Elephas maximus indicus: one gene and its partners. The protein of the gene in region 1 interacts with the protein of each later gene in a pairwise test. Links are inferred from orthologs where the notes say so. Each region holds a gene or a part of one and is shown in the gene's direction. Other genes may lie near its edges.

What was found.
Region 2: the proteins of PPP1CA (region 1) and PPP1R15B interact in binary tests that used the Homo sapiens proteins (3 or more experiments, as listed by UniProt). The link is inferred for Elephas maximus indicus from reciprocal best matches to the Homo sapiens genes PPP1CA and PPP1R15B.
Region 3: the proteins of PPP1CA (region 1) and PPP1R9B interact in binary tests that used the Homo sapiens proteins (3 or more experiments, as listed by UniProt). The link is inferred for Elephas maximus indicus from reciprocal best matches to the Homo sapiens genes PPP1CA and PPP1R9B.

What each region holds. Positions count from the first base shown.
Region 1 is NC_064825.1:130,433,610-130,437,619, reverse strand, and holds the start of PPP1CA (serine/threonine-protein phosphatase PP1-alpha catalytic subunit), read left to right. Parts: upstream 1-1,657; 5' UTR 1,658-1,752; coding exon 1,753-1,807; intron 1,808-2,281; coding exon 2,282-2,413; intron 2,414-2,537; coding exon 2,538-2,768; intron 2,769-3,415; coding exon 3,416-3,520; intron 3,521-3,977; coding exon 3,978-4,010. Other genes in the region: TBC1D10C (carabin), read right to left, coding at 161-312. UniProt on the Homo sapiens protein: Protein phosphatase that associates with over 200 regulatory proteins to form highly specific holoenzymes which dephosphorylate hundreds of biological targets.
Region 2 is NC_064836.1:13,665,962-13,669,971, reverse strand, and holds the start of PPP1R15B (protein phosphatase 1 regulatory subunit 15B), read left to right. Parts: upstream 1-1,122; 5' UTR 1,123-1,641; coding exon 1,642-3,552; intron 3,553-4,010. UniProt on the Homo sapiens protein: Maintains low levels of EIF2S1 phosphorylation in unstressed cells by promoting its dephosphorylation by PP1.
Region 3 is NC_064837.1:43,474,243-43,478,252, forward strand, and holds the start of PPP1R9B (neurabin-2), read left to right. Parts: upstream 1-1,073; 5' UTR 1,074-1,567; coding exon 1,568-2,953; intron 2,954-4,010. UniProt on the Homo sapiens protein: Seems to act as a scaffold protein in multiple signaling pathways. Modulates excitatory synaptic transmission and dendritic spine morphology. Binds to actin filaments (F-actin) and shows cross-linking activity. Binds along the sides of the F-actin.

The sequences.
Region 1 (4,010 bases):
TACCTGGAGCTTGAAAAGAGGTGATACCGACTGAGTCCCATTCCCTACTGCCAGACCCTCCCAGGATGCTCAAAGTTGGACGTCATTCCAGAATCCAGCCCTCAGGCCCCATCCTCAGCCCCGGCACTCTATACCTCCCCCCCCCCCCCCCCCCACTTACCATGGCTCTGCTGAGCCTCCGCCGATGAAGCCATAGCGGTCAGCCTGGCGATATGGGCCGGGCCCACTCAGCTCTGAGTCGGACCCCAAGGAGCTGGAGTCATCCTGCAGCTCGGTAGGCTGCACCAGGTCCTCCCCTAGGGCCTGGGCCATGCTGCCCCCGACCCCAGATGCCACCGGCTGCAAGATGCGGGGAGAGCCAGGGTAAAGGGCAGTTCCCGACCCGTCTGGGTTCGGGGCTCACAGCCAGCCAGGCCCCAGCCCCAGGGCCTAGATGTTGAGTCGGAGGGGTAGGTTTCAGGGTATCTCACCAAGGCCCCTGGGTTCCCTCTTTTTCGGAGTCAGGGGCTGGTGACTAGGCCCTGAAATGGCAGCAAGGCCAGACCTCTGTACAAAGATCCAGACCCAGGCCCAGCTGCTGCCCCCACCAGCCCAGCTCACCTCTGGGCTGCACCTCACCTCCTCCTCTCACTTCCTCCTCAACCCTAGCTTCAGCAGCGCGCTGAGGGGCCCCTCCCAAGTAGGGAGGTCACCCCTTCCTCTCTGAGGCTCTTCCTGCCTGCCCTGGTGCCCTGTGAGCCACGGCCCCTCCCAACCTCCCACGGGGCCGCAGATGTGGGTTTCTATGCCTTCTGTGTGGCGCGGGTCTGCTAGGTAGAGAGGTAGAGAGGAGGTGTCGCCTCCGATTTAGATTCCTGGCATGTAAGACGTCCAAGGTGGGGCTCCAATGAGAATTAGGGCTTATTTACTGTTTGCTCTTTACAAAGTTACGCTTTTAACACGTACATAATGCGTGCACATTGTTTAACTGTGCTACTCACAAGGTAATTACTCACAAGGTAATTACAGGACTTTCATTTAGCCAGCACTACTCTGGTTCGGTGTGGACAAGAATGGGTTTGAAGGTCAGTGACAGGTGGTCTTCGGGCTTGGTCGGCCGCCCGGGGGTTGCCAGGGAGACTTAGGAGAATGAGACCCTCCGTGAATGTGAGATCACTGTCTCAGGTCAGCCCTTTGCTATCTCGAAGCCTCAGTTTCCTTTTCTGAACTTCTAGGACTCAACCCGCCACGTTTGGGGAGACGGACAGGGCTGGGTTTGTCGCGGTTATTAATGCGCTCGCACCACCCTCGCCCCAGGGCCAAACCACCACAGGGCAGCGGTGGAAAAAGGGCTGTTCAGTCTAAAAGGGAAAAACAACTTCCATAGGACTTCTGGTGAGAGACCTCAGAACCGGGCTCCGTGACTCCTCGGGGGGCGGGACCAGACGTGGCCACGCCCCACAAACCACGCCCCCAAGCCACAGCCAGGCTCCACCCCACCCCGCCAAAGCCCGCCCACCGCCGAGGCCCGGCCTCCAAGGCCGTGGCGGCGCCGCGCCTCCCGTCCGGAGGGGGCGCTAGAGCGCGGGGCGCGGGCGCGGGCGCGGGCGCGGGCGCGGGCGCGGGCGCGGGCCGGGCGGCGGCCGAGGCGGGGCGGGAGGCGCGCGGGGGCGGCCCGGGCGGGCGGAAAGAGCGCCAGGCCGGAAGGAGGCAGCAGGAGGGCGGGCGGCAGGAGCGGGCCCGGAGCGGCAGGGTCGGAGCGGCGGCGCCGCCATGTCCGACACCGAGAAGCTCAACTTGGACTCCATCATCGGGCGCCTTCTGGAAGGTGAGCGGGGGCCGGGCAGGGTCGCGCCCGCCCCGCCTTGGCCCCCCGCCCGGCCCGGAAGTGGCGCGCGGCGAGCCTGCCCCTCCCGGGCCTGCGTAGCCTGGGCGGGGACGCCCCGAGGTCCCGGCCCACCGCCGCTCCCCCACGCGCGGGCACGCCTGGGGGGTCCGAGGCCCGCTCCGGCTCGCGGAGCAGCCCCCTCTCCAGGGCCGGGGGTCTCGGGTGCGTGCGGGACCTGAGGCGCCTAGACCGGGGTGGGGTCCCGCGCTCTGAGGTGTGGGGCGGCGGGCCTGGCGCACAGCAACCCCATGTACAGGGCCCTGAGGGTAGTGGGGTCCTGTCTTGGGGGGCTTGAGGCCGAGGTCCCAGGCGACAGCAACATCTGTCCCTGGGCCAGGAGGGGTACCGTGGGACCCCGTGTCGCCCACCCTCCTGCCTGAAGACCCAGAGTCCTGACGCCCTTTTCTCCCCCAGTGCAAGGCTCACGGCCTGGGAAGAATGTCCAGCTGACAGAGAACGAGATCCGTGGTCTGTGTCTCAAGTCCAGGGAGATCTTCCTGAGCCAGCCCATTCTTCTGGAGCTGGAGGCGCCCCTCAAGATATGCGGTGAGCCCCCTGAAAGTGGCATAGGCCCCTCAAGTGTCTGGGTCCCTCCTCTCTGGAGCCTAACCTGACCCCGCTTCACTTGCAAACCCTGCACCTGGCACTGACGCGATTCCCGGGGTCACAGGTGACATCCACGGCCAGTACTATGACCTTCTGCGGTTGTTTGAGTACGGCGGCTTTCCTCCGGAGAGCAACTACCTCTTCCTGGGGGACTACGTGGACCGGGGCAAGCAGTCTCTGGAGACCATCTGTCTGCTGCTGGCCTATAAGATCAAGTACCCCGAGAACTTTTTCCTGCTCCGTGGGAACCACGAGTGTGCCAGCATCAACCGCATCTACGGCTTCTATGACGAGTGTGAGTGGTCCGGGGTCTGGGCACTGCCCAGCTCAAATGCCCTCCTCTCTGTTCAGCGGAACCCTCATATTGGCTTGGCGTTAGCCATACTGCCTGCCAGATTCCCGCTAGACTGAGCTCCGCAAAGGCAGGGTCTGGTTCAGGGCATGTCTGCCTGGCCCGCCCTCCCTGGAGGGGATACACTCAGGAGGGGCTTGGTGAATGGTTGCTGGCAATTTGAATTCGTACTGCTTTTCTTGGAGGCTCTGCCTGGTGACACTCCCACCTCCAGTGCACCCATTACTTAAATACTCAGGACGTCTAACTGGCTTGGACTCTGCTGGCCAGAAGCTGAGCTAAACCAGATCAGGTCTTGCCTGGCCCTGCTCATGGGGTTGGGGTGGGTGGGTGTGTGTTAGGCGGAGGATGTACCAACCCTGAGGTTCTGGATTGGAACTTGGGCGTTCCTGTGGACTCTGCTGCTTTAGAACTCCATCCTGGAGGAGTGGTAGGCAGCGTGGGGAATGTTAGCCCCCTTGCCTTTCACTCTCTTCTCCCAGCTGGGTCTGGATGGCCCACGCAGCACCCTGGGGGGCCCAGAGACCCAGGCTGGGGTGGGGTGGGGTCAGTGAACAGCCTTCTCAGAGCCAGCCCTTTCCTCCAAGCAGGCAAGAGACGCTACAACATCAAGCTGTGGAAAACCTTCACCGACTGCTTCAACTGCCTGCCCATCGCGGCCATTGTGGATGAGAAGATTTTCTGCTGCCATGGAGGTGCGGGCCTGGGGGCTGGCGAGCGCCTTCTTACAGCCGGCGTCGTGCTGCTGAGGGAGTGAATGCCTGCGAAGGCAGGGCCAGCCACACCGCCTTGGGATGAAGCATGGTTCGCTGGAGGGCGAGTGTCCTGTCGCCTGGAACGGCTTGCGTGTTGTCTTAGATGTCACTTTTTCCAAGAAGTTGCCTCACCACCCTCTGTTAGGGTGCACTGTGGTGGAATTTGCTTATCTCCTTTTTCCAGAGAGCTGTGGGCATTCCTTGAGGGCAGGGAATTCTTGTTTGTTTGCCCCTGTGCTCAGCGATTGGTAAATGCTGAGGGGAGGATGAAGAGGCCTGCCTGGGCCTGGCGGTGGTGGTGGTGGTGGTGGGGAAGGTGAGGTGGTTGGTGCAGCTGCCTGGAGGTGGGCTCCCTGGTGGAGGCTTGTTGAGGCATCGAGCCGCGTGTGTCTCCCAGGCCTATCCCCAGACCTGCAATCCATGGAGCAGA
Region 2 (4,010 bases), on another chromosome or scaffold:
AGAAAAAAAAGCCTGGAGATCTGCTTCCCGAAAGATTACAGCCAAGAAAACTCTACGTAGCAGTTCTACTCTGTAACACATGGGGTCACCATGAGTCAGAATCAGCTCCACAGAAATCTGTTCGGTGTTTTTTTTTTTTTTAATTTCCTAGAAAGAAGTTTCCTTGAACTGGCCTAATAAGGTAAGATTCGTAGCTGGCCTCTTCCTGGCTCCCAAAAGATCTTTTTCCGCTGTCCCTAGTGCTCATTACTACTACCCTCCCTCTGTAATAGATACTTCAGGGTATGGATTTAAAAGTTTTAGGAGAAATAAGTAAATGAACTAAGACTAAACTCACAAGAGAGAATCAAATGTAGCAATTAAAATTACCGGCCAATTTTTTTTCGAAATATAATACTCTGTGCTTTCTTCTTTGGGTGTCGCACCCTGTAGTTTTGTGAGCTTAGAAAATAAATATGAACAGAATGTGTTGCCTGCTGGGAAGCAAAAGCTCGAGAAAACGGTTCTAGGACTAAGTGTCTTCCCTCCTCTGTGACTTCAGCTTGCTCCACAGTGACAGCGGATGGTCTGATAGGGAGGCACTACCCAAACAACGAACGTGTACCTGAGCATGTCACCTCAAAGCTAGATGCCCGGCAATGCTGAGTACTTATTTAGAAACCCTAAAACCGAGAGGGCAGGGATACCTAAGGATGATTCATTTTCCACTTAAGATTGAAATGTCTTAACACCAGGCGTCTACCTACTACAGAGCATTGCCTAACGCCTGGTACAGTATATGTTAATCTCAGGCTGGTGATCTACTCAGTTCTCAAAAATACTGGAACCCCTATACATACGGTAAGTGTATACACTTCGGTGTGTATTAGGACATTAAAAGGGCTCCAGGGAACTCTCTGGTTGTCTTGAAATACCTCCACCTCCCGGAGCCCGTCCCTTTAGCCCAGAGGGCAACCTGGCGATCTCCTAGGAGACCACAAGGAAACAAGTGCGCACGCGTAGGGCACAGCCCGGCTGATGCAACCTTCCGCGTGCGAGCGGCGTCCGCCGAGAGTAAGGAAGCCGACAGGGAAATGGGCGAGACCAATCAGCGGCCACACGGAAGTGCGCGCTAAGGCCCGCCCCCCGGTGCTCTGCGAGGGACGTTCGGCTGCGCCGGGCTGGCGGCGTAGGCGCCCCGGCCGTGCTGCGTCTCATCCGGTTGCCTCGGGGTGTCCTGCCCCGGCGCTGGCCCTGCGGCCATTTTGGACTGGGCTTCCACCCGCGTTCGCCTGCCTACCCCGTCCTTCCGGTGTCGTGCTGCGGAGGGGCTTTTTAACGGTCCTTCTCTCTTGGAAGGTCGCCGCCGGAGGAGCGTTCCCATCTATGGTGGCCAGGCCTCGAGCGAACTAGGACACCCCCTTCCTCGCCGGGATGGCTCTCGCCTCAGCTGCCGCGTCCTGTTCCTGCAGTTCCGGGCCGCGATCCGCCGCCTGCTGCCGAAGCCGCTTTGCTCTGTGGCTCCTCTCCTGGCCCGGGGACCGGCCTGGAGCACCGACTCCGCTGCTTGGTAAGGCCAAGACTGTTTAGGCCTCTTCCGAATCGCGTCCGCCCTCCGGCCGCCGAGGTCCGAGTGCCTGAGACATTGCCAGGAAAAAGGAGATGGAGCCGGGAGCAGACAGGTCGCGGAGACGGGCGGGCGCCCGGTTCCGGCTGCCCTTCCTCTTCCCTTGGCCATCGCGGCCAGGCTCTTCCAAGTTCCCCACACCCGTCGCTCCGGAAAGCTCCGGGGACCCCAAACTGGCTTCCTCTCCCCCGCCCCAGGCTCGGACCAGCTACTGGATGAAACTGCTTTCCCAGCTCTTTGCGCCGCTCCCCAGCTTGTTTCAGAAGCTGCTGATTTGGAGCCAGCTTTTCGGTGGGCTGAGTCCCACCAGATGGCTGGAGTTTGCTGGAGGCTACAGCGCCCTGAGAGCCCTGAGGGGACGGGACGAACCTGTCGCGCCCATCGCCCAGAAATCTGTGAGTTCGCTGCGGCTCGACCTCTCGGACGACTCGGCGGCTGCCAGCCCCCTTGATTGGCTAGAGGAGGGGATCCATTGGCAGTGCTCGTCCCCAGATCTAGAATTGGCACTTACAGCCAAAGGGCGCGCATTGGACCCTGCGGCACCCGCTTTCCTCTTAGAGCAGCAGCTGTGGAGAGTGGAGCTGTTGCCGAGTAGCCTTCAAGCCCAGCTCTTGAACCGGGAACTTGGCTCTTCGCCCTCAGGGCCTCTCAACATTCAGCGCTTAGGCAACTTCAATTTAGTCTCCTGTTTGCTGAACGCCTCCTACCTGGACTGCCTTCCTCGCCTAGAGCTCAGTTATCAGAACAGCGTGGGAAGTGGCCAGCTGGTGGATTGCCAGATTTGGACTCCAGAGAGCAGCTGCCTGACTGATGACCATTGTCACCCCAAGCCACTGAATGCAGAGGTCACTAAAGCCTCGTGGCAAGAATGCCCACCTCTTTCTACAGAAGGCCTGCCCGAAATCCACCATCTTCGCATGAAACGTCTGGAATTCCTGCAGCAGGCTGGCAAAGGGCAGACGTTACCCACCCCTGACCAAGATCATGGCTACCACAGCCTGGAGGAGGAGCACAGCCTTCTTCGGATTGATCTGCAACACTGCAGAGAGAACCCAGCACAGTTTGTTTCACCTGCGGAAGCCATACCTGGAACCTCCCAGGAAGTCACTGAGGAAAACATAGAATTGCTGACTGAAGAGGCTCTCCATGCTCTGGAAAAACAGGACCCTTTGGGAAGCTGCCCATCTTGTGAGATATCTGTGGTTGAAGAGCCTGGAGAGGACCAGGTTTGTGGGGTTGACAACTCAACCCTAGAAGATGACCAGCCCATGTCTGCCAGACCAGCCTGTAGCAACAAACTGATAGATTACATTTTGGGAGGTGGGTCCAGTGACCTGGAGTCAAGTTCTGATTCCGAAGGTGAGGATTGGAATGACGAAGCAGAGGATGATGGTTTTGACAGTGATAGCTCACTTTCAGAGTCAGACCTTGAGCAAGACTCTGAAGGGCTTCACCTTTGGAACTCTTTCTACAGTGTAGACCCTTACAATCCCCAGAACTTTACAGCAACCATTCAGACTGCTGCCAGAATTGGTCCTGGAAACCCCTCTGATTCAGAGAACGATTTGTCCGACGGATCTGATCTAGAGAATTCTCCCCAGACTAGAAGCCTTCCTGAGTCTCCTGACCAGAGTTCTGGAGAGGAAGATGACTGGGAATCTAGCGCAGATGAGGCTGAGAGTCTCAGACTGTGGAACTCTTTCTGTAACTCTGATGACCCCTACAACCTTTTGAATTTTAAGGCTCCCTTCCAAACATCAGGGAAAAATTGGAAAGGCCATCGTGACTCAGAGAGACCATCTGAGTCCTTTGTAGCCATTTCTGAGTGTCACACCTTCCTTTCTTGTAAAGTGCAGCCGTTAGGGAGCCAAAGAAGTGACTGTCCAGACTTGGTCCACTACCAGTTTCTCTCTGGGGAAAGACACAGGCATATCAAAAGAAAAAAGGTTCGTTTATTTTCTTAACATGCGTGGTGATTTGTTCTCGTGGTGGATGTGGTTAAACACAGCAGCATGACTTTTTTGGAGGCATAGTAGTGCATCTTTTTGGGGAAGATCTCTAAATGGGTTGGGAGTTTCCCTGCAGGTTTCAACTTTTCATGCTTTTTCAGGGAACGGAAATATACACAATTTTTCTAGAGATTGGGACGGTCCTATCATTTAGAGTTTTTAAATGGTTATCATGTGATATGCCATTGGCAAACGCTTAATATTTTACTTACATGATAACAGTGTCCTCATTTTTTTTTTTTTGTACTTTAGATGAAGGTTTACAGAGCAAATTAGTTTTCTCATTAAACATTAATACACATTTTGTTTTGTGACATTGATTGCGAACCCCATGACGCGTCAGCACTTTCCCCTTCTCGACATCGGGTTCCTCATTTCCATTCCTGCGGGTTTCC
Region 3 (4,010 bases), on another chromosome or scaffold:
TGTGTGAGTGTTAGGGCGGGAGAGGGGTGTGGGCTGCGAGGGAACATCAAAATAGTTTTCTGGGTTGCCAGGACAGGGCATGTGTAGGTCATTGTGACCTCGTTGCCCCCCCCCCACCCCCACATGCACATAGTGGCCAGGACCCTCTAGATAAGAGACCCAAGTTAGAATTCTCGCTGGGTAAACCTTGGCCACAGGCCTCTAGAATTCCTCCTCCTCATCTCCCCCTTCCTGCTTGAGAGGCGAGTGCTCCTGTAGGGGTAGGAGGAAGGGGTTTGCGACCCCTCCGTTCCAGCCTGGGGTGCAGACAGGCTACCGGGACACCCTCTACAAACTTCCGAATGGCAAAGGGTAGCTTTCGGGATTTCCTGCCCTTCGGGTGATGGGGACCACCTTCTTTCTCCATTCCTTCTCCTCCTCCCTCCTAAGGCCAGCAACACTGTACCAAGGTTTCAGACATTACGGAGTGCCTAAGATTCCCCAGGAGGAAAAGTGGTAAAATGCAGAATCCCGGGCCGCTCTCTGAGCTTCTGATTCACAAAGTTTGAGGGAGGGCCCAGAATCTGTGTTTTTACCAAGCCCCAGTGATTTTGATAATGACAGCTTTGAACAACACTAGCGAGCCTTAAGGACCTGGAAGAAAATGATCCTTTGCCCCTTCCTACCTATCCCCCTTCACGTTGGGGTGGAGAGGGGCCCCACTAAAACCACTGTGGTTGGTCTGCCCTACCCCCAATATTTAATGGGGGTGCGGTTATGTGGGTTGTGATAAACCGCAGCCAGAGGCTGGGATGGAAGGGTCGCAGAGGATTGAGCAAGGCCTGAGGGCAGCGGAAGGCTTTCGGCGAGGGACCGGCAGGGGAGGGGATTTATTTGGGTGTAGGGGAAGGGGTGGGCTCACAGACTCTGGCCCCGGAAATCCGATCCCTCTAGGACCCAGAGGTGCCAGTCCCCCAGCGGCGGCGGCGAGAAGGGCAGCCGCTCGGTCTCCGGCAGCCGCCGCTCGGGCACAGCGAGAGAAAGACCGGAGCTCGGGGCGCGGGGGGGAGGGAGGGAGGGAGGGAGGCGCGGCGGCGGAGCGGCCCCGGCCGGCGGAGCAGCCATGGGCGCCGGGGTGCCCGGCCCCCGGAGAGCCGAGGCCCCCGGCAGGGGTGGGGGACGCCCGGGCTGCCAGCCCCGCTGACACCGCCTCGGAGGATGTGAGCCGGCGCCGCCGCCGCTGCTGCTTGGACAGGGCGCGCCGTCCCACCGGCCTGGCCGCCGCTTTTCTATTTTAGGTGGGGGCGACCGTACCAGGCCGCTTGGGCTTTTTAAGAGGGTCTGACTGTCTTTGGCAGCTTGATTTGGGAAGGCTACCCACACAGGACGCCCGGGGATTTTTTCCTTTTTTTTTTTTTTTCCTTAAACAGGGTTAACTGTTTTTGGCAGCTTGGTTTTTGGGGGAGCCTAGAAAAGGCCTCTCAGGGTTTCTTTTCGGGGGGAGGGGGACAGTGGTCCCGACTTGGCCACCCGCCTGTTGGCGGGGGAGAACGGGGAGCAGGGGGATGCGAACCCGGCTCCCCCCACCATGATGAAGACAGAGCCGCGGGGGCCCGGGGGTCCCCTCCGGAGCGCCTCCCCGCACCGTAGCGCCTACGAGGCGGGCATCCAGGCGCTGAAGCCGCCCGACGCGCCCGGGCCGGACGAGGCACCTAAGGCAGCCCACCACAAGAAATATGGCTCCAACGTCCACCGCATCAAAAGTATGTTCCTGCAGATGGGCACGACGGCCGGGCCGCCGGGCGAGGCGGGCGGCGGCGCGGGCCCGACCGAGGCCCCGCGGGCGCCCGAGCGCGGCGTTCGCCTGTCGCTGCCGCGGGCCAGCAGCCTGAACGAGAACGTGGACCACAGCGCCCTGCTCAAGCTGGGCACCAGCGTGTCGGAGCGCGTGAGCCGCTTCGACTCTAAGCCCGCGCCCTCGGCGCAGCCGGCGCCGCCGCCGCATCCGCCCTCCCGGCTGCAGGAGACGCGGAAGCTGTTCGAACGGAGCGTCCCCGCGGCCGCGGGCGGCGACAAGGAGGCCGCGGCGCGGCGGCTGCTGAGGCAGGAGCGCGCCGGCCTGCAGGATCGGAAGCTGGACGTAGTGGTGCGCTTCAACGGCAGTACCGAGGCGCTGGACAAGCTGGACGCCGACGCTGTGTCGCCGACGGTCAGCCAGCTCAGCGCCGTCTTTGAGAAGGCCGACCTGAGGACCGGCCTCCACCGTGGGCCCGGGCCCCCCAGGGCCGCGGCCGCCGGGGCTCCGCAGGTCAACTCGAAGCTGGTCAGTAAGCGTTCCCGGGTGTTCCAGCCACCGCCGCCACCGCCCGCCCCGTCGGGGGATGCCCCGGCCGAGAAGGAGCGCGGCCCCGGAGGGCAGCAGCCCCCGCAACACCGAGTCGCCCCCGCCCGGCCGCCCCCCAAGCCCCGGGAGGTGCGCAAGATTAAGCCGGTGGAGGTGGAGGAGAGCGGGGAGTCGGAGGCCGAGGCGGCGCCCGGGGAAGTGATCCAGGCCGAGGTGACGGTCCATGCGGCCCTGGAGAATGGGAGCACCGTGGCAACCACAGCCAGCCCCGCGCCCGAGGAGCAGAAGGCCCAAGCGGCCCCCGACGAGGCGCCGGCGTCGGCGGCTGTGGCTGTGGCTGTGACAGATAAGGGGGTCGGCAATGGCCGGGCCCCAGACTTGGCCCCTGAGGAGGCGGATGAGTCCAAGAAGGAGGACTTCTCCGAAGCCGACTTGGTGGACGTGAGCGCTTACAGCGGGCTTGGGGAGGACTCTGGGGGCAGTGCCCTGGAGGAAGAGGACGAAGAGGACGAGGAGGATGGGGAGCCCCCCTACGAGCCCGAGTCGGGATGTGTGGAGATCCCGGGGCTCTCGGAGGAAGAGGACCCGGCCCCGAGCCGGAAGATCCATTTCAGCACGGCGCCCATCCAAGTGAGTGAGCGCCCCCAACCCCCGGCCACCCCTGCGCCGCCCCTGCCACGTGCGCGCCGACGCCCCCACCCGGCCGGCCTGGTTTGGCAGGCTGAGTCAGCCCCTGCCACCCAGCCCCCTTCCCAGAAGTTGCCACCCTGAGGGGGGCGTGGGGGAGTTCCAGCTGTTTGTCAGAGGGGGATGATTTCCAGGCCTGGGAAGGGGGTGGCCTGCCCCGACCTGCCCTCAGGTGCCCCACCCGTCCTGCCCTATGCGGGTGCTGAGACACCTGCTTTGCCTTTTCTCCCAGACCTTCCTTCCTCCAGGGGCTGGGGCTGGGGCTGCCAGGGGCAGAGGCTTGGCTGGTGGAAAGGCATACGTGTGTCCTCAGGAGAACCCTCCCCCCCCCCCCCCCCGCATTTGTCCTACCCTACTCTGGGCGCGAGGGGGCCGGGGGAGCTTGGAAACACTCCTTCGTTTCCCCCACAGACAGGAGCTGGATAGGGTGAGGGGGGCTGAACAGAGGCAGGAGAGAGAAGGAAGGGGAGCTGGGAACTTCCCAGAACGAATGAAGGGGCAGGACACTGCAGCCCTTCCTCCATCGTGCCTGTAGCCCCCACCCCAACTTTGCAGAAGTGAAAGGGGGAAGCAGGTCTGTCAGGGTGCACTGAACTGGGACCGTGTGACTGGGGGTGGGGGAAAGGCTTAGGCTGGGACTCAGTCACCTGGGGGTCAGTGCTATTTCAAGCTACCAAGGTCCAGTTCCACAGGGAGGGGCACTTTGTGTGACCTGCTAAAGGGACTAGGCCATCTCTAGGGTGTGAAAGAGGAGGAGGTGGGGAAGAGGATGGGGTGGGGAGTCCCATACAGGTCTGAGGGCACCCAGCAGTGGCTGGCATGCCTTTGGTCATGGCTTCTCAACAGGACAAACTCCCCTGGCCTTGGCTAAGGCAGGCCTTGAGTGTTCTTGCCACATTCCCTGGGTGTCCTGAAGGAGGGGTTGAGCTGCCTGCCCCTTTTGAGCTCCTGTTGGCTCCCAGCACCACTATTGGTGATTGGTTTGTGGGCTGTGCCAGTG